3 linked regions of the Mytilus edulis genome follow. The main gene of each other region encodes a partner of the protein of the gene in region 2 in a complex. Links are inferred from orthologs where the notes say so. Each region holds a gene or a part of one and is shown on either strand. Other genes may lie near its edges. The genes, in order: protein prenyltransferase alpha subunit repeat-containing protein 1-like, geranylgeranyl transferase type-2 subunit beta-like and synaptobrevin homolog YKT6-like.

Region 1 (8,268 bases), on a different chromosome or scaffold from region 2:
TACCTTTTTTTATTTAGTTCATTTAAATATTTTGGAATTGAGTGTGACATCTATTTTCACTGAACTAGTTTACATTTTTTGTTTAGGGGTCACCTGAAGGCTGCCTCCTGTACAGGATTTTCTTGCTGTGTTGAAGACCCATTGGTGGCCTTGAGTTGTTTTCTGTTCTTTGGACAGGTTGTTGTCTCTTTGAAACATTGCCCATATCCTTTCTAATTTTTATATTTAACAGCCAATATTTAATGATGCATTAAAATAAAGAAATTGATATCTAAACCATGCATTTGGCATTGACTTTTATTCTTGATTTTCTAAACTAAACTAAATGAATAACTGAGATGGTATTGCGTGTAGTTTTACCTAAGAATTTGGCATTAACTTCTTTCATCCTCCATGTCATCAGTGTATTGTAGGCATAATGATGAAGAATTTTGACACTCCACATCTCAAGTCCAAGTTTATGGTCTTGTAGAATGAGTGGACTTCGGTTGTGTTTGGGTTCCAGTACTGGTAGAAAGTCATATTCATCACTGTAAATAATTCAAAATGTAAATGTTATAATATATTATATAATATGCATGCATGGCTTCCACATTTTGTGTTCTAATGATGTTTTATCCAGACAAAATCATTCACGATACTGAGTCACTTAGTGTTAATTTTCAATAACTTAGTGGAAAGGTATATATGAAATTCAAAGTGAGGGGCTTTGGTTAATAACTTCCTTTCATATTCATGTTCAGCTACATATATGGTTCATGCATAGACTTTTCACATATAGTTTGGGCCCCCATTTTTCAAAATCCTGGATATGTATCTGAAACAACTTCCTTGGCTATTTCCTTTGAAGTTCAACACGTCTGTATGTTATTATACATTTTGTAGATGTGATAATGAGCAGATAAGTGACAAAGTGCAAACTATTGTTTGCTATTGTTTGACAGTTGTTGGGCAATCTTGAACAGCAAAGTCGATTAAAACAACCTACTATTCTTAAGTAGGGATTCCAATGAGGGTGACGTGCAATTTGAGGTCAGTGAAAAGTTAATATCATTTCAAAGTTTTAATGATCATTTAAAATGATTCCAAAGTCATTTTAACAAGATGCAAATTGTGTGCAGTTACAAATATATACATGTACATGTTTAGAAAAAATTCTTGAAAAATAGAAGTAAAATCCAAAGCAACATCCAAAAAGTAAAAGATATAATCTATTCTCAATTGAAACTCATAAAGCAACGTTACATCACATGTAAATACAGGGAAATGACACAAAGACCTTACAAAGAACAATGTATCCTGATGCTACAAAAATTGTATATATCAAAAAAGACATAATTTGCAAATGTGAAATTTTAAAAGTAACAATAAATACATATGACCAAAAAAAAATACTATAGTGGTCTGCAATATCCGTATTATAATGATGGGTCCCTGTCCTGAAATACAATGCAGCAATTTCAGAAGTGACTATATAGCTATAATGAATTCTTATTGTCAGATACTTTGTGTAATCTTACCCAGTGCTTAATATTTAATTAGAACCAGGATTTGTGTAGTAAAAAGGTTCTTACTATAAGTATTATGATTAAGACATTACATTCTATTCTCTGTTTTTTTAAATTGATAATCAAGCCTTAAAAGTCAGCAGGAATTGTTATTTTAATGTCTTTATCATGTGTAACATATCCTCTCCTTTCACAGCAGATGGATGTACGTCATTCTGACAAAATGACTTTTTGTTGTAAAATATTCTTTCTCAAAACAAACTCTCAATATCTTTAGGTCTTTTCACCACTGAACTCACTGCACACCGCCGAACAGCCCAAAAATTATATTATTTTATCTTTTATCATTATAAATGTGACCTTAATCATGTTAATATAATAATTTAGTTATTAATTCAACAAAATATTAGATTGATAAAACCAAACATCTAAATCAAACATTTAACATAATATTTTTTTATAGGAGAGTACAATGTGTATATAATATAAAGAACAATTTGAAAAAGTATATGCTAGCAGTCTCTGGGACCAGGAACATATATTAACTGATAGATATATACTGTTCCCAGCTGGGACCCACATCTCCAAAAACACATACAACAGCTAGAAATGGTCCAAAGTAGAGCAGCCAGATTCATCAGACATGAGTATTCTCAAGACCCAGGCATAGTAACATCTTTATTAGAGAACCTAAAACTACCACAACTACCATGACTATAGGAGAGACGAAAAACATCATGTTTACTCCTTTTTCACAAAGTAATCCACCAACTTATTGCAATTCCAATTCCAGAATACTTGACACCACCAGCAAGAATGATGCGTCAATTCCATCAACGGCGATTTGTCAGATTAGGATCAAGTTCTGAACAAAGAAAACATAGCTTCTTCGTAAGAACCATCACAAATTGGAATGAACTACCGCATTTATTGCTGTCTAGTCTATTGGACATTGACGACTATGAAGCATTCAAGACCAACCTCATAGCACACAGATATCTGTAAATCAGCACACAAATGTTTTTATCTGCCTTGGCACCTGTGCATATGATTTTAATTAGGCAGCAACCATTTGATTTTCTGGGGGGGGGCTATGGTTTTTTTTGGAAAAAAAAGTTTGTTTCCAGTTTTTGGAGAAAAAAATAATTTGTTTTTGATTCTGAGAAAAAAAAATTGTTTGTTTCACCCTCAGCTGCCACTATATGTAATGCTAAAATTGAAAGAAAAAAATTGTTTTCGACCTGTCGCGAAAAAAATAGATTGTTTTTCGCCGCAGGCGAAAAAAAAAGTTTGCACAGATAAAAAAACCATAGCCCCCCCCAGAAAATCAAATGGTTGCTGCCTTAAAAGAGCACATTTTGGATGACACAACTTTAAATTTTAACATATTACAGATTACCCATATAGATGTATAGGTGTGGCCGAATCGACCGTGTCCGAAACGACCTTAACGATATGGTTAATAACTCTCAGGACATTTCGGCCACATAAGTTATGTGGCCGAAATGTCCCGAGAGTTAAGACATAATATCTTAATAATTTCTTTGTTTACATCTGTTTTTATGAAGAATTTGGTTCAATGCAAGCTTTCTCAATGAAATTACATCGCCTATTGAAATGCCAAACTGTTCGAAATGGGGCTTAATTTACAGTTTTTAATTACATCTCGGGGTCCTTCCGAAATACGCTGTTTAAATCTGAAAGTAGGCGACATCCTCTGCTGTCAGACGACATTTTGGATTTTTTGTTATGATCACGTGATGTCGCACAAAAAGATAATATACTGTTCTTTTTATTATTATTTTGTATTTTGAACGCCAAATATAAATATTTTTGTCTATTATGAATCTCTTTTACACAATAAAATTTTTTATTGCTGCAATTAACAATAAAATTAAAGTCACGAATATACGAGATTAAAGATGTCAGCGCACATGAAAATCCAACCAAAAAAAACAACTTTTTAATTAGAAACGGATAAGAAAGATGTACAGTCGAAATAACAGCAGAAAGAACTTTCGGCCTGCAAATCCTCGATTTGTCACACGAGGCCAAAACCAGAGACACAATTTTCCTCCACGAACACCGGGACAGTACACCCCAAGAAATAACCAACCAAGAAGGTTTCAAAACACAAACACTATCACGTCCAATTTTCCAAATAATGAACACGGGCAAAATCAACGCTCATTTGAAGAAAGAGTTGATAATCGCAATGTTCAAAGTAGTAGACCACAAGGGCCTTCTTCATTTCCAATATACAACCAAGGGCAAACACAAGGCAGCCAACAAGACCAATCACAACCTTCAAGCTGGGAGCTAAACACTTCTATGTCTATGAGAGATCCAAATCGCAATAGGACTGGCATGGCAAAATACAGTTCTGACTCGAGAATTACACCTCAAACATCAATCGATGGCTATCACCAGGCTCCACTTATCAACATGTCGATGAATGATCAAAAACCTTTTAACTGGTCAATGAATGATCAGAAGAATGAAATTCTTGACAGTAAAGGTAGTGGAAACTTTTTTACAAAAGTTGCACAAGAAGAAATACAAAAATCAAAATCAACTTTCAATTCACAGAATATGCAAATTCCAGGTCTTGATGTTATTCCTGATCAGGATGAAAGCACCACACTTGTGCAAAGGTCAAGCATAATATCACCTCAACAAAGTTCTGAATTGCTGGGTTCTTTGAGTTTCGCACAAACTGAAAAACCGTTTGACAATAGACAACAAGATCATACAAATCCTCAAATTCACCAATTTACAAAACCATTGGACTACCAAGGACTTAGTCATGTTAGTGTTCCTGAATCAGTTCAACCTGTACAAATGATGATCCCAAATTGTCCACCTCCTTCCAATTCATTTTTGCAAAATGATATGCAATTCAGAAATAATCAGCTTGGAATGCCACCACCAATGAACAGATTTCCTAATCCATTTCCACCACCTAATTTTCAACCAAAACCCTACGCAGGTTCAAATCCGTTTCCTCCAAATTCTCATCCTCCTCCACTCAAGCCAGTTATGAATCAGCAAATTCAGCAGCACCACCAGCAGCCGTTTCAACTTAAAAAAGAATTAATTCAGACAGAACATGCAACTGTACTGCCAGGGAAAGAAAAAGATACAGAGTGGATAAAATCATGGCTTGATAGAAAAGGAATACAATCTGATGATTGGAAGGTCCAGAAAAAAGAATGTGTCAAAACACCAGTTAATGTAAGAATTGGCTAGCAAAAATGTAGGACAGAAAATCACAGGACAAAAAGTCACAATTCAGTTTTGAGACTACATGTATATTTCTTTGAACAAGAAAACACAAATTTAAAAACGAATATTTTTGTTTTTTCTTGAACTATTATATACAATGATATAAAAGGCAACTTTAATTTTGTAATTAAAATGTTTTCAATAAATATCAATAATGATCAAATAATTGTTATTAAAACAAAATGTCAAAGTTGCTTGGTACACAAATGTCTTCATGGTGCTAAGAAATATATTCTTTGCATGATTAAAATGTGATGAATTTTCATTTATCAAAACCTGTGACAAATTTCCTTATCTGAAAAATTAATATACATATGTATGTAGTAAAAAGAAAATATTTCTGGATCTTTCTCTTATACATGTATATTCAAACAATTGTTGAAGAATTATATGTGACTTTTTGTCCTGTGACTTTTTGACCTATCAAATTTGTGACTTCATGTCTTGTGACTCTCTGTCTGTTTACCGGCTAACAATACTCAATCTATATATCAATATATATAGATGAGCAGTGTCATAAATGATCTAGTGAAAATACGCTGAAGTACAATTCTAAAATAAGTATTGCAACATTCCAATGATAGACAAACAAGATTCAATCGATTGAATTATTGAACTGTATTGTGATGTGATAAATGTTTCATTCATGACATTGTACTTCATGTCTCGTGTACTTGTAGCTACATAATGTAGGGTACACATCAATTAGACAGCAACCTCAATTTTGTTCAAAGTACAAGACTCTATGGGTCAGGCCAAAACGTATTATATGTGTAAGTTTCAAAGTTGCAAGTAAAGTTTTAACTCTTAACAGACATTAATTTACCTTTTTGTTGGACTATTGCATATATCACACAGGTTGAGACCATCAAACAAGTCAAAGCTAAGGATCTTTTCCCCTAAAAAATTGTTAAGTTAATGTAAATAAAACTGGACATGATTAAACCATCTACAGGTGTTAAGATATACATGTGTACACTTGTTGATTGGTCATGTTGGTTATACAAATGTATGTAAGGGACCAGGCTAGGGTTACAGCAAGTCTGTTTTCCTTGAGATACCAACTAAGGGAAGCAGTAGTTGTTACAAAGTAAAGTCTCAAACATTTTGTCTTTACAATGTACAAACATTGTATGCAAAGCATTTAAATGTGCATGTTGGAAAAACTTTTAATTCTTTATGCAAAAAGTATATATTTCAGTTGAAATTTTGTAGGGTTTAATGCAAGATTGCTTTATTTATACACATCTTTTTCAATTTTCATAATATGTTTCAGCTATATGATGTCCAAGAAAAAACAAAAAGAATGATGTTTCTGATGGCATCCCTTCAAAAACAGATCAAGATTTTAAAATCATGTGATCAACATCAGATTGAGGAAGAAATGAGAACAACTAATAAATTGAAGGTATGAAAGAACTATAAAGAATCATGGAAGAGAAATATTTAAACTATACAGGAATCCAGATGTTCCATGTTGTTAGTTGTTATGGATTTTTTTTGTATGGGATGTGTACATGTACATTTGTATGTTAAACATACATCTGTATCATGCATATAGAATGTATAGATAATTGTTTGATTGCTGATTTTTTAATGCTTTGTGCAAATAATTGAAACTTGAAAAAGATGGAATTCATTTAAATAAATTTACATATATATAATGTATACTGCTGAATGATGTAACAATTGTTTTTAGTACCAATACATTTGTACCTACAATGTACATGTGTATGGATCTAATCACATACATTACATACATATTGACATGATTGAAATGATTCATTAAAATTTCTTCATTTGAATACCAATAATATCTTTATTTTATTTTTGAAAATAATTTCGAAATGTCTATATTTGTACAGGATGAAATGGATGCCATAAGGAAATATTTGTCCACAGTAGATGTTCTGGATTTAAGAATGAAAGTTAAGAAGAGGATGCAAAAAAGGGTTTGTTGAAAGCTATTAATTTGTTGTGTCAAAGTTGTGCAAAACTTTAAACAGCTCAGAATTTTCCTGAAATATCCAATGGTTATGAAAATAATAAAAGGCTTTAGTTATTCATGTACCATTAACCCAAACCTTCTATTTAAGACTCCTCAACCATAAGAATCCTCCTCCCTTTGTATTACAATTCATGTAATATAATTTGATCATTGTCTTTGCCAGAAATTTTGTAGCTGATAGATGATATGGTTTTGAGCTTTGATCCTTCATATCCTTTTGGAATCAAATTATCCCAGTTTATTTAGTTCCCTTATGAAGTTATGATTTTCAATTTATTTCAAAAGTATCAGTTATAAGGTTCATCAAAAAGAAGGTTAGTTTCAGGTTTAAATTATAATACATGTACAGTGCGTGTATAAGTAGAAACACATTCATTTGTTATTAATTTGTTTTTATCTTGAATAAGTAGATGAGATCATGTGTCTAGGGTTGGCAAAGTAAATTCATTCAAAACATTTTAAGAAAACCTGAAAAGGGCAATGTTTTAGCTGTATTAACTGTACTGTACTGACACATATAACATGTATGAAGATAGTTTTCATTAAATGCTTAAAGAAAAATTACTTTATACATTTGTACATAAAAAACTAAAGTTAGATGTATGAATAAGCGGTGTTTGTACAAGAAGAGTTGACAAACAAATGAAGTCGGGTCCAGTAATTTTGTTCATCCAAACATTGGTTAATTTGATAACGTTGGGATAATGAATGGTAAAAAGTTCTAACGCCTTGTGTATTGTTTGTAAAATGATTATGGAATATAAAATAATTAGATGAATACTATAAACACAACATCATATAAAAAAATTAAATGAAATTTGGAAATAACTTTATTTTTTGTATTATTTTCAGTATGTGAACATTCTAGCTGGACAAAAAGAATACTATTAGCCTGTTTATACAAATATCCTTTTGCATTACTGTATTATATCCTTTCAGCTTCAATTACTGTTGACATTTCATTCATTCTATGATCTGATTCAACAAATCTTTTAACTGCAAATTACTTTGTTTGCAGTTGAATTGATATCAGTTCAGACGTCCATGACCCTTGTTTTATCATAGTTTTTATTTGGATGTTTTTCATAGTTTAGTTAAAGTATTTCTTTGAACTTTTTTTTTCTTGGATAACATGATGTCACCATTCTAAAAGTCTAAATTTTGAAAGAAAAAAATTGACACAGTACAGGAACACATAGATATGATTATATTCAAAGAGTCTAGAAACTGGTGATATCATGAACAGATATGAAGTTGTACAACAAACATATCACAATTTTACATTACATTACAGAGTAAAGATTTTGAATACCTTAACACTAAAACTATGTCACTTAAGTTTAGGTCTGTCCATGGGTTACAATACACTAAATATATATATATCGCTAGATTAAAATTATTAGAATTCCATCAATTAAATTTAAATTTGTAAATGACAAAACATTTCTGATTATGGAGATACTAATA
Region 2 (7,728 bases):
GCATGTCAAAACATGGAGGGAAACAAAATCAAATGAAAATAGTCCATTTTTTTCTGAATTTTTTTCTGGACTCAGTTTTTTCTGTTTGATTATAGGTTTATGCTGAATTGAAACATGTATATAGATTTAAACCAGGTGCTCCGCAGGGCGCAGCTTTATACGACCGCAGAGGTCGAACCCTGAACAGTTGGGGCAAGTATGGACAAAACATTCAAGCGTGATACAGCTCTGAATTTGGATTGTGATCAAATTTTTGACATTACATGGGTTTTTTTACACAAAACAAATGTCAAGATTTTACAAATCAATTTTCTTCTTATTTAAATCTAAAATTAAATAGTTGACACAGCATAGGTTTCTGACACAGAATGAATGTGGTCTAATGAACTTAAAAGTTTTTTTTTGCCTTTGAGCAATTCACTATGCTGTTGAATATTAATCCTCTCAAAAAAATGTTTGAAGAAATTTTCTTTTTATTTATGAAATCTGAAATGAGAAAAATTTAACCCCCCCCCCCTTTTTTCACATCCCTGTTTCCCTTTTTCCAAAACTGATATCAATTCAAATTTCTAATGGAGTTTGCAACAATAACTACTCTTTTAAATACATCATAAAATATTAAAATGTAAAATAAAGTGCTTGTTATCACTGAATGGTAAAGATTGGTTGGTAGTAAAAGTGAATATACATTGTTTATTGTATAAAACAATAAAAAAAACTTCATCAGCAACATTTTATATTGGCAAATTTCCAATGAAGTTATTTACATAAAGTTATTGGCAAATAAAAATAGAAAATGACATCATAGTCATGTCTGGCAAATTTCCAACATACATTATCTAAAACATTTTAGATAAGATAAGGAAAAAAAGCTTCATCAGCAACATTTTATATTGGCAAATTTCCAATGAAGTTATTTACATAAAGTTATTGGCAAATAAAAATAGAAAATGACATCATACTCATGTCTGGCAAATTTCCAACATATATTATCAACTACTATTCTATACAAAGAAAGATAACTCCAATTGAAAATTAATTGCTATTGCACAATATTGTGCAATTAGATATTTCTTGCTATTGTGCAATACTGTGCAATTGAAAATTTCTTGCTATTGCACAATACTTGATATGGAATCCTGATTTGGACCAACTTGAAAACTGGGCCCATAATCAAAAATCAAAGTACATATTTAGATAAAGCATATCAAATAAGCCCAAGAATTTAATTTTTGTTAAAATCAAACTTAGTTTAATTTGGACCCTTTGGACCTTAATGTAGACCAATTTGAAAACTGGACCAAAAATTAAGAATCTACATACACAGTTAGATTTGGCATATCAAAGAACCCATTTATTCAATTTTTGAAGAAATCAAACAAAGTTTAATTTTGGACCCCCATTTGGACCAACTTGAAAACTAGGCCAATAATTAAAAATCTAAGTACATTTTTAAATTCAGCATATCAAAGAACCCCAAGGATTCAATTTTTGTTAAAATCAAACTAAGTTTAATTTTGGACCCTTTGGACCTTAATGTAGACCAATTTGAAAACGGGACCAAAAATTAAGAATCTACATACATAGTTAGATTCGGCATATCAAAGAACCCCAATTATTCAATTTTTGATGAAATCACACAAAGTTCAATTTTGGACCCTTTGGGCCCCTTATTCCTAAACTGTTAGGACCAAAACTCCCAAAATCAAACCCAACCTTCCTTTTATGGTCATAAACCTTGTGTTTAAATTTCATAGATTTCTATTTACTTATACTAAAGTTATGGTGCAAAAACCAAGAATAATGCTTATTTGGGCCCTTTTTTGGCCCTTAATTCCTAAACTGTTGGAACCAAAACCCCCAAAATCAATCCCAACCTTCCTTTTGTGGTCATAAACCTTGTGTCAAAATTTCATAGATTTCTATTCACTTAAACTAAAGTTATAGTGCGAAAACCAAGAAAATGCTTATTTGGGCCCTTTTTGGCCCCTAATTCCTAAAATGTTGGGACCAAAACTCCCAAAATCAATACCAACCTTCCTTTTGTGGTCATAAACCTTGTGTTAAAATTTCATAGATTTCCATTCACTTTTACTAAAGTTAGAGTGCGAAAACTAAAAGTATTCGGACGCCGGACGACGACGACGACGCCGACGCCGACGCCAACGTGATAGCAATATACGACGAAAAATTTTTCAAATTTTGCGGTTGTATAAAAAAATCTTGCATCTTATAGGGGATATCAATCCAGAAAAGTGGAAGGATATCATGTTTACTGGAAGTAGTGCGGCCCAGTAAAAACAGCAAACATAAAGTAGAAAAAAAATGTTTTGACTTCAGGGTTACGTAACTTTTTAATCTTCGTGGCAAGACCCACTTTTTTTTCCGATTAAATCACAATTTCACATTAGTACATAAATGATATGAACATGAAATAAAATTTCTATGTAGCATTTTAATTTTCAAAGTTCAGCTGTTTTGCATGTAAGCCTATGGAGCAGTCAATTACAAGACTGCGACCACAAGAACCGCGAGTAGGCCAAACCAACGCCATAGAGTACTGCAATTGTAGAGCACCTGAAACGCCTCAACATTTTCTTCTGGAATGTCCCTGCTATGAAAACGAACGAGAAGATATGTTACACCAAATATCCAAAGAGGTCGGGGTCAGAAACTTGAATTTGGCTACTATGCTAACGAGACTGGACGGCGAGAGCACAGAAGAGACAAAAGCCAAACTACTAACAGTGGCACATTACATTGACAGAACAGGCAGATTTAATACTGCTGTTCCACAATCCCAATCTTAACCAGCGCATACCAATTTAAAACACACAGAAGAAAATATGTTGAGGAAATCCACCAGAGAGGAAAACCGCACATTGAGACAATTCCGAATTCGTGCGAACAGGCTTTAAGATTGAGGATTGAGGCTCTGTTCTGTTGTCAAACTGTCAAAACAGGTACATTCATAACATCAGATACCAGAACAATTTCAGTTTACAAATTCTGATATGTTAATTTTAGGACACATTTCTAGACAAATACTGTTCCAAGTTTTGTATATAAAAAGGCTAAAATGTTCGATTCGTGAGCTGAAGCGAAATATTGTTTTCAACTTAATAAGAGAGACAACATGGATTTTAAGTCTAGTTACCATTTCTGTCTGTCAGAAAACTCATATAACGTGAAACCTAAAATAGATGTGATAAATATTTCATGTTGATGTGTGTCATGGGGGCGTCCATCACAACGACCCGGATGGGGTTTCCCCATCTTCGGTTTCCGGTTCTAAAATTAGAAATATAGGACGATAAGACCTCTGTCCCCTGAAAATGCTTGCTGGAAAACTTGCACTTGTAACTGGTATATTTTAGTGTTATAACTCATCATAAAGTCTTTTTATTTCACATAGTACTATAAAAACGTTATGTTATGACATTAAACTCTTCTCTTGTTTATTTTAATACCAGTCCACAGAGGTCTGTAGAGGGGTATATTTTTGTTTAGACCAATGATTTGTATACTATACAAATCCTTGTTTAGACTAGATTTAAATATACAAAGGGCAGAATGGCATTTTCTACTTATGATGGCAGTAACCTGCAACAGTTGTGCACCAATTGATGTACTTAATTTAATATGCACATGCCCAGTTTGCTGCTTATCTGACTAAATACCAAAGGGCCAAGTGAGCTTTTCTTATCACTTGGCGTCCGTCGTCTCACGTCTGTCATCTGTAGACTTTTACAAAATCTTCTCCTCTGAAACTACTGGGCCAAATTTAACCAAACTTGGCCACAATCATCATTGGGTTTTTTAGTTTAAAAAATGTGTCTGATGACCCCGCCATGCAACCAACCAATGTTTGCATGGCTGAAAAATAGAACGTAGGTGTAAAATGAAGATTTTGGCTTGTATCTCTGAAACCAAAGCATTTAAAGCAAATCTAACATGGGGTAAAATTGTTGTTGGGTTGCGGCCCCTGAATTGGTAATTTTAAGGAAATTTTGCCGTTTTCAGGGCCGTAACTACATTGAGGCAAATGAGGCAAATGTCTCATGCTGGAAATTTAAAAAAAAAAAATTAAAAAAATTGTCTTTATATCAAATTGTTTTCACAGAAAGTGTCTTGCAAGAAGCAAGTTCTCTTCACTGGACTGATGTCGCCCCTGCATTTTTATGCCCCACCTACGATAGTAGAGGGGCATTATGTTTTCTGGTCTGTGCGTCCGTCCATCCGTCTGTTCAGGATAAAGTTTTTGGTCAAGGTAGTTTTTGATGAAGCTGAAGTCCAATCAACTTGAAACTTAGTACACTTGTTGCTTATGATATGATATTTCTAATTTTAAAGCCAAATTAGACTTTTGACCCCAATTTCACGGTCCACTGAACATAGAAAATGAAAGTGGGAGTTTCAGGTTAAAGTTTTTGGTCAAGGTAGTTTTTGATGAAGCTGAAGTCCAATCAACTTGAAACTTAGTACACTTGTTGCTTATGATATGATATTTCTAATTTTAAAGCCAAATTAGACTTTTGACCCCAATTTCACGGTCCACTGAACATAGAAAATGAAAGTGGGAGTTTCAGGTTAAAGTTTTTGGTCAAGGTAGTTTTTGATGAAGCTGAAGTCCAATCAACTTGAAACTTAGTACACATGTTCCATATGATATGATCTTTATAATTTTAATGCCAAATTAGATTTTTTACCCAATTTCACAGTCCATTGAACATGAAAAATGATAGTGCGAGTGGGGCATCCGTGTACTTTGGACACATTCTTGTTTTTTGTGATTTATGTTTCCATTTTACTTTTGGTTTTCGGAGTTGATGGTCTATTGTTTGTACTTCTGTGTCTCGGTTTGTCTTTTGTTCTTTTATTGTCCTACTTTATGACTATAGTCTGAGTGTTTTTTTTCATTTGGAAACGTGTGCAATGTTGCATGTCCACCAATGTCCAGATATTGTGCGGGAAAATATTTTAAGAATATTCTCTCGTTTTTTATATAGATTAGACGGTTGGTTTTCTCGTTTGAATGGTTTTACACTAGTAATTTTGGGGCCCTTTATAGCTTTTTGTTCGGTGTGAACCAAGGCTGCGTGTTGAAGGCCGTACATTGACTTATAATGGTTACTTTTATAAATTGTTATTTGGATGGAGAGTTGTCTCATTGGCACTAACACCACATCTTCCTATATCTATCTATGATGCTATACTGGACACAGAAAAAATTGTCGTTTCTGCATGGATAATTGAACTTGATATCAAAGGATACAAATATGTTTTTGTCTTTTTTTTTCCGTTGATTAAGATATTCAGTTTTCTATATTAATTATACAAATCTATCACTTTTGTACATGTCTCACCTTGTTTTGAGTCAGAGAAAATACCAGAAATATTTCTGAGTATGGATTGTAAAATTAAGTATTTTCTCTGAGTCGTTTAAATCACTCGAAACTAGCTATATATAGGTGAGACATGCACAGAAGTGATAGATATATGTATTATAAATATAGAAAATTTACTATTTTAATCAAAAACAAAAAAAAATAAAAAAAAATATCTGTATCATATACCCAAGCTCCTGTGGATAAAACTACATAGCTGACATGGTTTAAATTAAAGAAAGACCACCAATTTCCCGGTATCAAATCATTTAAAAAACTAGAGGCTCTAAAGAGCCTGTGTCGCTCACCTTGGTCTTGTGCATATTAAACAATGGACAAGGATAAATTCATGACATAATTATGTTTTGGTGATAGTGATGTGTTTGTAGATCTTACTTTACTGAACATTCTTGTTGCTACAATTATCTCTATCTAAAATGAACTTGGCCCAGTAATTACAGTGGAAAATATTTTCTAAAAATTTACAAAAATTTATGAAAAATGTTAAAAATTAACTATATAGGGCAATAACTCCTTAAGGGGTCAATTGACTATTTTGGTCATGTAAACTTATTTGTAGATCTTATTTTGCTGAACGTTATTGCTGTATACAGTTTATCTCTATCTATAATAATATTCAAGATAATAACCACATTTTTTAAACAAGTTACCCCAATGATGATTGTGGCCAAGTTAAGTTTAATTTGGCCCAGTAGTTTCAGAGAAGATTTTTGTAAAAGATTATTAAGATTTACGAAAAAATGGTTAAAAATTGACTATAAAGGGCAATAACTCCTTCAGGGGTCAACTGACCATTTTGGTCATGCTGACTTATTTGTAAATCTTACTTTGCTGAACATTATTGCTGTTTACAGTTTATCTCTATCTATAATAATATTCAAGATAATAACCAAAAACAGCAAAAATTCCCTAAAATTACCAGTTCAGGGGCAGCAACCCAATAACAGGTTGTCGGATTCATCTGAAAATTTGAGGGCAGATAGATCTTGACCTGATAAACAATTTAACCCAGTCAGATTTGCTCTAAATGCTTTGGTTTTTGAGTTATAAGCCAAAAACTGCATTTTACCCCTATGTTCTATTTTTAGCCATGGCGGCCATCTTGGTTGGTTGGCCGGGTCACGCCACACATTTTTGAAACTAGATACCCCAATGATGATTGTGGCCAAGTTTGGTTTAATTTGGCCCAGTAGTTTCAGAGGAGAAGATTTTTGTAAAAACGAAGACGGACAACGACGGACGACGGACGCCAAGTGATGGGAAAAGCTCACTTGGCCCTTCGGGCCAGGTGAGCTAAAAACCAATGTATTGCCATACATTTTGTATAACCTTTTATATCATGTATATTGAATGGTTAAACTTGCATTAAGTCCTGTTTAGACAGAAAATAAAGTAATATGAAGTAAACGTGCACAGGACCTAATCGCACACAAAGTCAATGCATAGAAAAAATACAAATGATCAATGGTCAAAGCTTTTATTCCTGTTCTTCATCTTGATAGTTGCTGGAGGGTCTTGGACTTCAATAATCATTAATACCGTAAAAGAAGGTCGAGATGGTCCCTAGTGTCGACTTAAGCAGTACTAGTACTTAAAGTATAATACTGCACTGTCACTATATTTAAATCTAGTCATAAAAAAATCACCAAAGTCAATACAAGACAAGAGCAGACAGACAACCCGGTATTAATGATTATGAGAAATACGATTTTTACTTTATCCTACATATCGGTCTTTTAATGTTGCCCATAAAACCTAAAAGTCTTAAATTACAATAAATCTATGTTTTTGCTCTGAGACTAGAATGTTGTCGAAAAAATAGCTAAAGATTATTTGCGTTTCAATGTAAGAAAGAGTCCGTGGAACGCTTCGAATGCGTGATATTGCGTTATTTTTCTCAGAGCTGCTGGGGGCCTTGAGCGGCCTCAAGACCCCTCGACAAAATTTTTTCTCCTCGCTACGCTCGGCGAATATGTTTTGCCTCACTATTAAAAGAAGCTAGTTACGGCCCTGGTTTTTGGTTATTATCATGAATTTTATTTTAGATCATGTAGATAGAGATAAACTGTAAACAGCAAAAATGTTCAACAAAGTAAGACCTACAAATGAGTCAAACATGACCAAAATGGTCAATTGACCCCTTAAGGAGTTATTGCCTTTTATAGTCATTTTTTACCAATTTTTCATAAATTTTTGTAGTCTTTTACCAAAATCTTCCACTCTGAAACTACTGGGCCATATTTAACCAAACATGGCCACAATCATCATTGGTGTATCTAGTTTAAAAAATGTGTCCGGTGACCCGGCCAACCAACCAAGA
Region 3 (7,696 bases), on a different chromosome or scaffold from region 2:
TCAACAAATTAAAAAAACTAACACTTACTTTATCTACAATGTAGTACCAATTATTTCAAATGAAAATTTCTCAGATTTTTCAGGTCAAAATATGTTACACAAAATAAATTCCAATATTTTTAAAGAAAATTATGTTTTCCTTTAAGAGAACCAAAATCTTGTCTACAAAAAAGCAAGTTGTGAAAACAATAAATCAAATTAGTAACAGGGTCATTCTGTTTTGAAAAATGTTAAAGAAGAGTATTACACATGTAATTTTTGTTAACATATGTTTGTAGGGAAATTAACACAGTGAATATTTTGTTACTGTACAGTGGAGTCCCTGTGCGTCTGGTGATGTTGTGCATTACCTGATTTTGTCATATGGACAATGTAACAAAATCATTCTTGTCATTTTTTTAGTATTCCAAAGGGACAAAAAAGATTAAAATTGATAAGTCAAGATTAACTTTATAACTACAATTCGATGACTAACCAAATTTAGACAATTACCATTAAAAATATTATATAAACAGATAAAATTTGTTTCATTAAAGTCAAATTTAAATTAGATTGAAATAAATTTTGCTCTGTATCCTTGGCAGTCTGTTTGGTTTAAATTCAATTATTAATAATTATAGTGTGTATTATAAAATCTTTCTTTTCTTCAACATAAACTATTTTTTAAAAGGCATGCATGAAATCACTAGACATTTAAAGAACTCCCAAAACAGGGAGTTACCGCCGGAAAGTAAACATTAGTACGTTGATGGTTTTCTGTAACAAAAGAAGAAGGGGTTTCAAAATTTTGGATACACATCACACACAATCTTAAGGGTGAAACCATACATACATGTACAGAAGAGTTTAAGAAATTAACAGTATTGAATGAAATGTTTCACACAATATTATCCGATTTTTGGTTTTATCATTCTAATAAAGTGAAGTCATCAGGGTTTCCCCTGGGTCAATTATTTTTTTCGCCACCTCTTTCGCCAAAACAATATATTTTTCGCCACTTTATTATTTTTTTCGCCATATGACACAAATATATCTTTCTTTTGAATTCCCCTCCCTCAAACCTCAATAAGATTACTTTGCCCCATTGCTTTCTAAGATTACTTTCTAAAACTATTCTTTCGGTCTGTATTGTAATAAATAAAAATACTAAACATTTACCTTATAAAAAAAAAAAGAACTGTACAGGGAAAATTGATTATATTTTGAACAACTTTAAAAGAAAGGGACCACTTTTTTTTGAAATTAAAGAAGATATAAATCCTGGAATATAATCTTGGTTACATGAAAATGTCACAGTTCTTTGGGAAAGTTTAAAAAAAAATAATAACATGTGTCCTTTTGTACTAAGAAGTGTTTTTTTACAACAAAACAAAAGTTTTTTTATCACTTGACATTGATCCCTCATGTAAGGTGTAGTCATAACATTGAAGGGTTATTTTTATTCGAGGGGTTGTTCCCAACCTTTTGAATACATTTCTTTATAAAGACAGTTTTCTTTTCTATACCATCGCCAATACATGTGTAAGTACAACTATGCTTGAAACATGTGTGTCACTGAAACGACTTAAAAGTACCCACTCCAATCAATTATCGATTATCAAAGTTAAATGATAAAGTTTTAAATTAGAGACCTTTCTTGCTTTTGAACATTATCCTTCATAGGCAAGTTTTCTTTTCTGGACTATCATTAAAAGAAGGAGAAGAGTCGTCAAAATTTTGCTTCAAACACGTGCGTCGCAAAGTCACGTTAATAGATCCTTTTTAAAGTGACATGTAACGAACGCCATTCAACCATATCATTTTCTCATTACAATCAAAACCTTTATTAATTAGTCCTTTGATGTCGATAGGCATAAAATGCAATCAGCTGATTATTGATTATCTGTCAAAATCTTAACGAGTTCTAGGTGAATTCCGAGTATTGTCTGACCAGGTAAAGACAGAGAAATCCGAAAAAAAGTAAACAAACAAGATGGTTGAAAATAAATCGTTTTATATATTTCTTTTGCCAAATTCTTTCGCCAATGACGAATTTTAATCGCCACAATCATTATTTTTTCGCAAATTGCGAAAATGGCGACCGCCAGCGAAAACCCTGGAAGTCATAAATCTTACGTGTGAGGATACACCGGACTGCACCATACATGTACATGTATAGTTATCTCATAAAAGGTTATCTTGTCTTCATATACATTTTTTATTTGTACAAATATGATTTTAAAAGAGATGAACGTGTGGGGTCACTTGCAAACCTGAAGGGGGTGAATGTGTCTTAGGAGCGACCAGACCTGATAAGTGGTCTCATTGGGGGGTTCCGATCCCGGATCCCGCTTACTGTTTTGTCAGATTCCCATATCCCGCTTACACTATGTACGTAAGCAATTCTCATTTTTTTGTCATTTCCCGGGTCCTGCAAGACCTCATTTCCCGTTTTCACGCCACAATAATTTGACTTTCACGTGTCACGCTTACAAAAAATCGCCAATCCCGCGTCACGCTTAGACCCCAATGAGACCCACCTGATACCAAGTCATACTGTAGCTGCGGAACCGTAGCTCTTATGTCCTTATGCTATTTTTTCACTATTTGCTGACCATAGCTCTATGGTCCGCAAATAGTCAAAAAATAGCATAAGGACCTAAGAGCTACGGTTCCGCAGCTAGTCATACTGGAGACTTTAATTTGTAAAGAATTTAATCACCTGTAACCTTCATTAGTTTAGAACAACTGTACTTTTTTTTCAACTAATATAGAAAACTAACACTTACTTTATCTACACTGTTGCAATTATTTCAAATGAAAATTTGAATTTCTCAGGTTTTTCAGGTCAAAATATGTTGCACAAAATATTTTCCAATATTTTGTGATAAAAATTATGTTTCCGTAAAGATAAATCGAAACCTCCTCTTCAAAAATGCTCTTAAGATGTGACAAAAACAAATCAAAGTAGTAACAGGGTCATTTTGTTTTGACAAATTACTATAAATGTCACATGAATCACGGGCACTGATATTTGGCAATTTTGACAACACAGGAAATGACGTTAAACAGAGTTACCTTCTCTTGATAAAATTATAAAACACAAAACTTACCGGACGCGTGAATCCGTATTACAAATACGGAAAATGCTCATAAATGATTTTTATTGGTATTAATTAATATTCGTTAAATTCAATCATTATCTAAGACTATTTATGTATGTTATCAAACGAAATACCAAATGAAATACTTATCTTTTGAATATATTGTTGGCTTAAAAAAAATATAACTCAGTGTCTTATCATATATAGCCTATCTGGGACTAATACTTATGTGCCCCCCCCCCCCATATGTATGAAGCAACTCAAGAGGGTCTGGATGGAGGAATTTCAATTCTGTATTATTTTATTAGGTCATTCGAAATCGTTCTATATTATTGATATGTTTTTGTCCATTATACTATGATTCCTTTTTAACTACCAATTGTTGACTTGTCTATAATTCTTAATATTTTAACATCCCAATATTCTCTATTCTTCATTTATTTCGCCCATAACAAAGCATACATTTGTCTCTACTGTATTCTATATGTGTGTGGCCATTTTAGTTTTCTGTAGCATTGGTCCATTGTTCTCTATTATGTAAACCCCGTCAAGACCCTTACTTAACACTAAACTTTATTTGACATAGGATCTAGGAATATTTTCTATACCACTACATGTTTTAATGAAGACTGAGCATACTATACTGTATGGGTTATACTCATTGTTGAAGCCCACACGGTTGCCAAAAATTGCTTGCATTCACATCATTTGAACTTTGATAGTTGTCTCACTGGCAAATCTTACCACATCTACTTATTTTTCATGATATAAAATTCTTCATAATCATAATTTTTTTTTTACATGTGTAGTAATATTAATAATGTACACAGATAAAGATGATTAACTTTGACTATATAAAGTATTATAATTAAAATATTGGGGCGGGGGTTGGGCCCTCATTTTTTTTGGCCGATCACTATGATTCTCGGCATTTGAATGGGAATATGTAGTTTGACCCCTTTCTAAAATGGCTGGATCCGCCCCTGGTGGCCTGTCAATGTTTTTGGAGATAAAAAATAACTGTTCGTCCATTTGGATATAAAATAGGGTCCCTAAAGAACATAGTTGTATGTGTCGCTAACCTAATCCAATGATTCTATTAACCAATGGAATTTCCAACATTGCAAGTGGATAAGAATAGAATTCCTGACAAAAAACTGTTTTTGTTGATCATGTCTTGCTGATCATTTTGTGTTTGATTTCTCTCTATCTTCTTTAATTTTTGCTCAAAACATAAAAAGGGGTACACAAATACTTATTTTTTAAAGTGCAATCACCGTGAAATATGAAGAGCCCTACTAACAATATTTATAAAATTTTACTTGTTTGTGGATCTCACCATGCTTGTAGTTTTTGTTGTTCAACGTTTCTATTTATCGGCTGTAATTTGTATCATAAATGCAAAACGCTTAAAACAAACTGAATGGTAAAAATTGTCATTTAAAGCAATAACTCCAATAATGAGTCAGATTATTTCCTCCACTTGTCTAAAATGTAGATCTTTCCTTGTAAGTCACTATTTAAAAAAAAAATCGATCTATCTTTTACAGTTTTATAAGGCAATCATGAAAAAAATGATTGGAAAAATCTGTAACCAATAGGCAATAACTCTTATAGGAAGTCGACTGACGATTTCGACGACTTCGAAAATACGCTCTTATCTTTAGATCTTGATTGCTATTCTTTTTGCAACTTAAAGTTTCTCTCTGTCTGTAATAGTTTTCAAGATGAAAGGCTAAATGATGAACTGAATTGGTAAAAATTGCTTTTTAAGAGCAATTTTTGACGTCCATGAACAATTAGAAGAGCTCAACATTATGATCATTTTTTGTCCTTGTCAGATTTAACACAAGTAACATGTTTAATGTAACATGAAAAAAATCCCTATCTCCCGATAGGCAACATCAAACAAAGAATTCGTTAAGAGTGGACAAGCTTGAAACATAGAAACATTTTTGGCAAGATTTAATTTTGAAATGCATGCAGCCAATGGTATGGCTGGTCTTGTACAAGAAAAGGATATAAAATAGTTTCATATGTCAAAAACGTACATGGAGTGCTTTACAGTATCATAAATTGTCGTAAGCTTTGTTTTGTGATTTGTGGAGTTAATTGAAACTCTCGACTTCGACTGTCAGACGAAACAACAAAACAACTCGAAACTATAATAAAGTCTATACTTGCAATTGTGCAATACAAACAAACGTGATGAGAGCAATGTGAAATGTCAAATATATACATGATCATCTCATCTATATATATATATATATATAACTAACTAACACATTTCATGTTTGTCGGTCAAATATAATATTTAAATTATTATATTCAAATCGCTGTAGAACATCAGTTAACTTTATATACGATTAAGGTTTGTGCCAGCATTAAAAAATGAGTAGTTCAAGCTAGCATTTATAAGCGTTAGTGGCCTTCTGAAATTAAGGGTAACTTTATAAACCACTTTTCTAGAATAAGAATGTTCAATGTTTCGTAATTTTTCAGTATCAGTTCAAAGAAAAACACTTTGCATCTAGATAATGAAGAATTTCAACTGTTATTCATATATTTGTGTGATTTGGTGTTCAGAAAATCATTCAGATGAGTATTGGGATAATGGTCTAGAGTCTCGTTCTATCCCTGATGTTCCTGGTGTACATGCGACAAAGATTTGTATAGTAGAACATCCATGACACGAAGAAAACTTTTAAAGACCAGATTCCATAGTATAGTTTTATTACTATTATGGTATTTATATCAAATTACATTAAAAAAAATGTAAGATTCATAACTCTGTGCATGTCTCGATCTGCACGGCATGTAGATCTGTCTTCACGTATATATATGATACAAACATAAAAATAGTCATAACAAATAACGGGTTTAATTTCATTTCAATTACCGATTTATTCATTTTTTATAAAACTAACTTATCATTAACAGGCCAAAGTTTTGAAAATTGTTTAAAGGTACTTATTTTAAGAGATATTTCCATATATTTTACCATATATCACGCAGTTATATTACTACTTAACGACAATTTAAACACCAATTTTGAAACCTGATTATGATTTTTATCAATAAATCAATCTCACTATTTAATTATTTTTTAATGTTAATTTAAATCTTGACTATACATACAGTTCATTGTGCCGGTTTAGTGGCTCATTTTATTCTTCTTCATCTTTTGATGACATGTACCTGTATTTACTGTGCTTACTCTAATCTCTTACACTGTATCATTCAATTCGCTCAAACTGATCTCCTGATGAAACATTCAGTATTGTGAAAGGGAAACTTTTCAGATTTTTACCCTGTGAGTGAAGCATAGTATGGTAAAATAAGCTGTACGTCTGTAGTTTTCAAGGAAATGGACATATTTTCTTTGCCAGTGTAGTACGTGCAATTTTGTTTCAATGTCAACGTGGGTCTTATAAAAACTTTATACATTTGCGATGTCAATGCTCTTTTCGACAAATGATTACTTGTTAAGGGTAATCAAGGCGAAGATATTTGTAAATTAAAAACCTATAACAAAACTGTTACCTAAAGTAGTCAAATTACAGAAAACTACCCAAAGTAAAGTCAAACCCGGTTTTAAGGAATCAGAGTTATGCATTAGAGAATTGTCTTTCTGAGTTTCAAGTAATTTTCTTAAGTTCTATCAATGTAAAGTTAACAGTATTTGTATTATCATGCCAATACTGATCTTCTTGGCTCCATTCCCCAATAATTTCAAAATGTAACAATCTGAATCTACCAGTAGAGTCTGAGGTCACAGACACTTGTCTCAAATTTTCCCCCCTAAATACCTTAAAGTTTATATTAAGGTATATAGGAATTATTTTTTTTTTGAGACATGTGCCTGTGCCTGAGGTACCAACGGCGAATCAGAAATCAAATACGAAGTCAACGTTGTTTAACAATCTGAATTAAAATTGTTACAAGAAAATTTGTTTTCATGATAATGCATTTCTAAAATATAAACTTTGCTCTTCAAACTAAATTTAATACTAATTTTTTTTGCTAATTTAAAAAAAAAGATCTAAGTCATCATAACCGGATTTATTTATTATTTTTTCATGGTTTGTGTTACAACTGAATTTGACAAGACATTAATTCAAAATTATCTTGTAATGATCAAATTACAAAAAAAAATCTCTTTTTACGGAATTGGTCTAGATGAATTTAATGCAGAACCATGTACATTTATCAAGTTTATTGCCTTTTAATGTTATATATCTACAAAAGTCAAATTCTTTTTAGTTACCTTTTTCGCTTTTAAATTTTCTTCGATGACATTCCTTAGATTGGAAAAAAACTTTATTCGGAAGGTCGTAACATACTTAACAAAAATAACTCCAGCCTGAAAAAAGGTGAGAACAAAAAAACAACGGAACATATATTCCTGCTACCTTATAAATCTGTCGACACACAATGTCTGTAGGTTAGATATATCAACTTCTTCAGAATTACATATTTTGATCGTCAGTCCAACCTTAATTTTAACTATGACAAACATGAATACACTTGTATATATACTTGTTATTTTCTATAAAAGATCGGGAACGTATAGTTCACTTGAGAGAAAAAAATATGCATGTTTTACTGAAAAC

What was found.
Region 1: the proteins of geranylgeranyl transferase type-2 subunit beta-like (region 2) and protein prenyltransferase alpha subunit repeat-containing protein 1-like are in contact, whole or in part, in a crystal structure (PDB 6O60), measured with the Homo sapiens proteins. The link is inferred for Mytilus edulis from reciprocal best matches to the Homo sapiens genes RABGGTB and PTAR1. Residues at the interface, in NP_004573.2 of Homo sapiens: Lys6, Asp36, Tyr37, Cys40, Met41, Glu43, Tyr44, Ile89, Gly90, His91, Asp92, Asp136, Trp138, Glu140, Phe177, Asp178, Gly182, Cys183, Arg184, Pro185, Gly186, Ser187, Glu188, Ser189, His190, Gln193, Trp217, Glu221, Arg222, Pro225; in NP_001093136.1 of Homo sapiens: Val61, Lys62, Leu65, Pro66, His69, Leu73, Arg76, Leu97, Asn98, Asp100, Phe101, Thr102, Thr103, Asn106, Lys109, Glu110, Leu113, Ile141, Arg144, Trp145, Pro192, Ser193, Tyr195, Ser199, Ile202, Trp203, Gln206, Val231, Ser232, His234.
Region 3: the proteins of geranylgeranyl transferase type-2 subunit beta-like (region 2) and synaptobrevin homolog YKT6-like are in contact, whole or in part, in a crystal structure (PDB 6J7F), measured with the Homo sapiens proteins. The link is inferred for Mytilus edulis from reciprocal best matches to the Homo sapiens genes RABGGTB and YKT6. Residues at the interface, in NP_004573.2 of Homo sapiens: Thr3, Pro4, Gln5, Lys6, Asp7, Ile9, Lys11, Tyr37, Leu45, Trp52, Leu236, Asp238, Cys240, Arg281, Gly283, Asp284, Met285, Asp287, Phe289, His290; in NP_006546.1 of Homo sapiens: Lys60, Gln62, Asp63, Leu65, Asn83, Glu84, Tyr85, Pro86, Ser87, Leu153, Asn155, Thr156, Glu158, Arg189, Lys190, Cys194, Cys195.

Annotation. Positions count from the first base shown.
Region 1 is NC_092347.1:89,620,829-89,629,096, reverse strand, and holds the start of protein prenyltransferase alpha subunit repeat-containing protein 1-like, read right to left. Parts: upstream 3,264-8,268; 5' UTR 3,243-3,263; coding exon 3,172-3,242; exon of another isoform or gene 3,159-3,171; intron 531-3,158; coding exon 361-530; intron 1-360. Other genes in the region: programmed cell death protein 7-like, read left to right, coding at 3,495-4,742, 6,070-6,201, 6,659-6,745.
Region 2 is NC_092345.1:46,312,253-46,319,980, reverse strand, and holds the start of geranylgeranyl transferase type-2 subunit beta-like, read right to left. Parts: upstream 3,285-7,728; 5' UTR 3,161-3,284; coding exon 3,158-3,160; intron 1-3,157. Other genes in the region: (3R)-3-hydroxyacyl-CoA dehydrogenase-like, read left to right, coding at 3,336-3,366. UniProt on the Homo sapiens protein: Catalyzes the transfer of a geranylgeranyl moiety from geranylgeranyl diphosphate to both cysteines of Rab proteins with the C-terminal sequence -XXCC, -XCXC and -CCXX, such as RAB1A, RAB3A, RAB5A and RAB7A.
Region 3 is NC_092347.1:81,091,419-81,099,114, reverse strand, and holds the start of synaptobrevin homolog YKT6-like, read right to left. Parts: upstream 3,062-7,696; 5' UTR 2,769-3,061; intron 1-2,768. UniProt on the Homo sapiens protein: Vesicular soluble NSF attachment protein receptor (v-SNARE) mediating vesicle docking and fusion to a specific acceptor cellular compartment. Functions in endoplasmic reticulum to Golgi transport; as part of a SNARE complex composed of GOSR1, GOSR2 and STX5.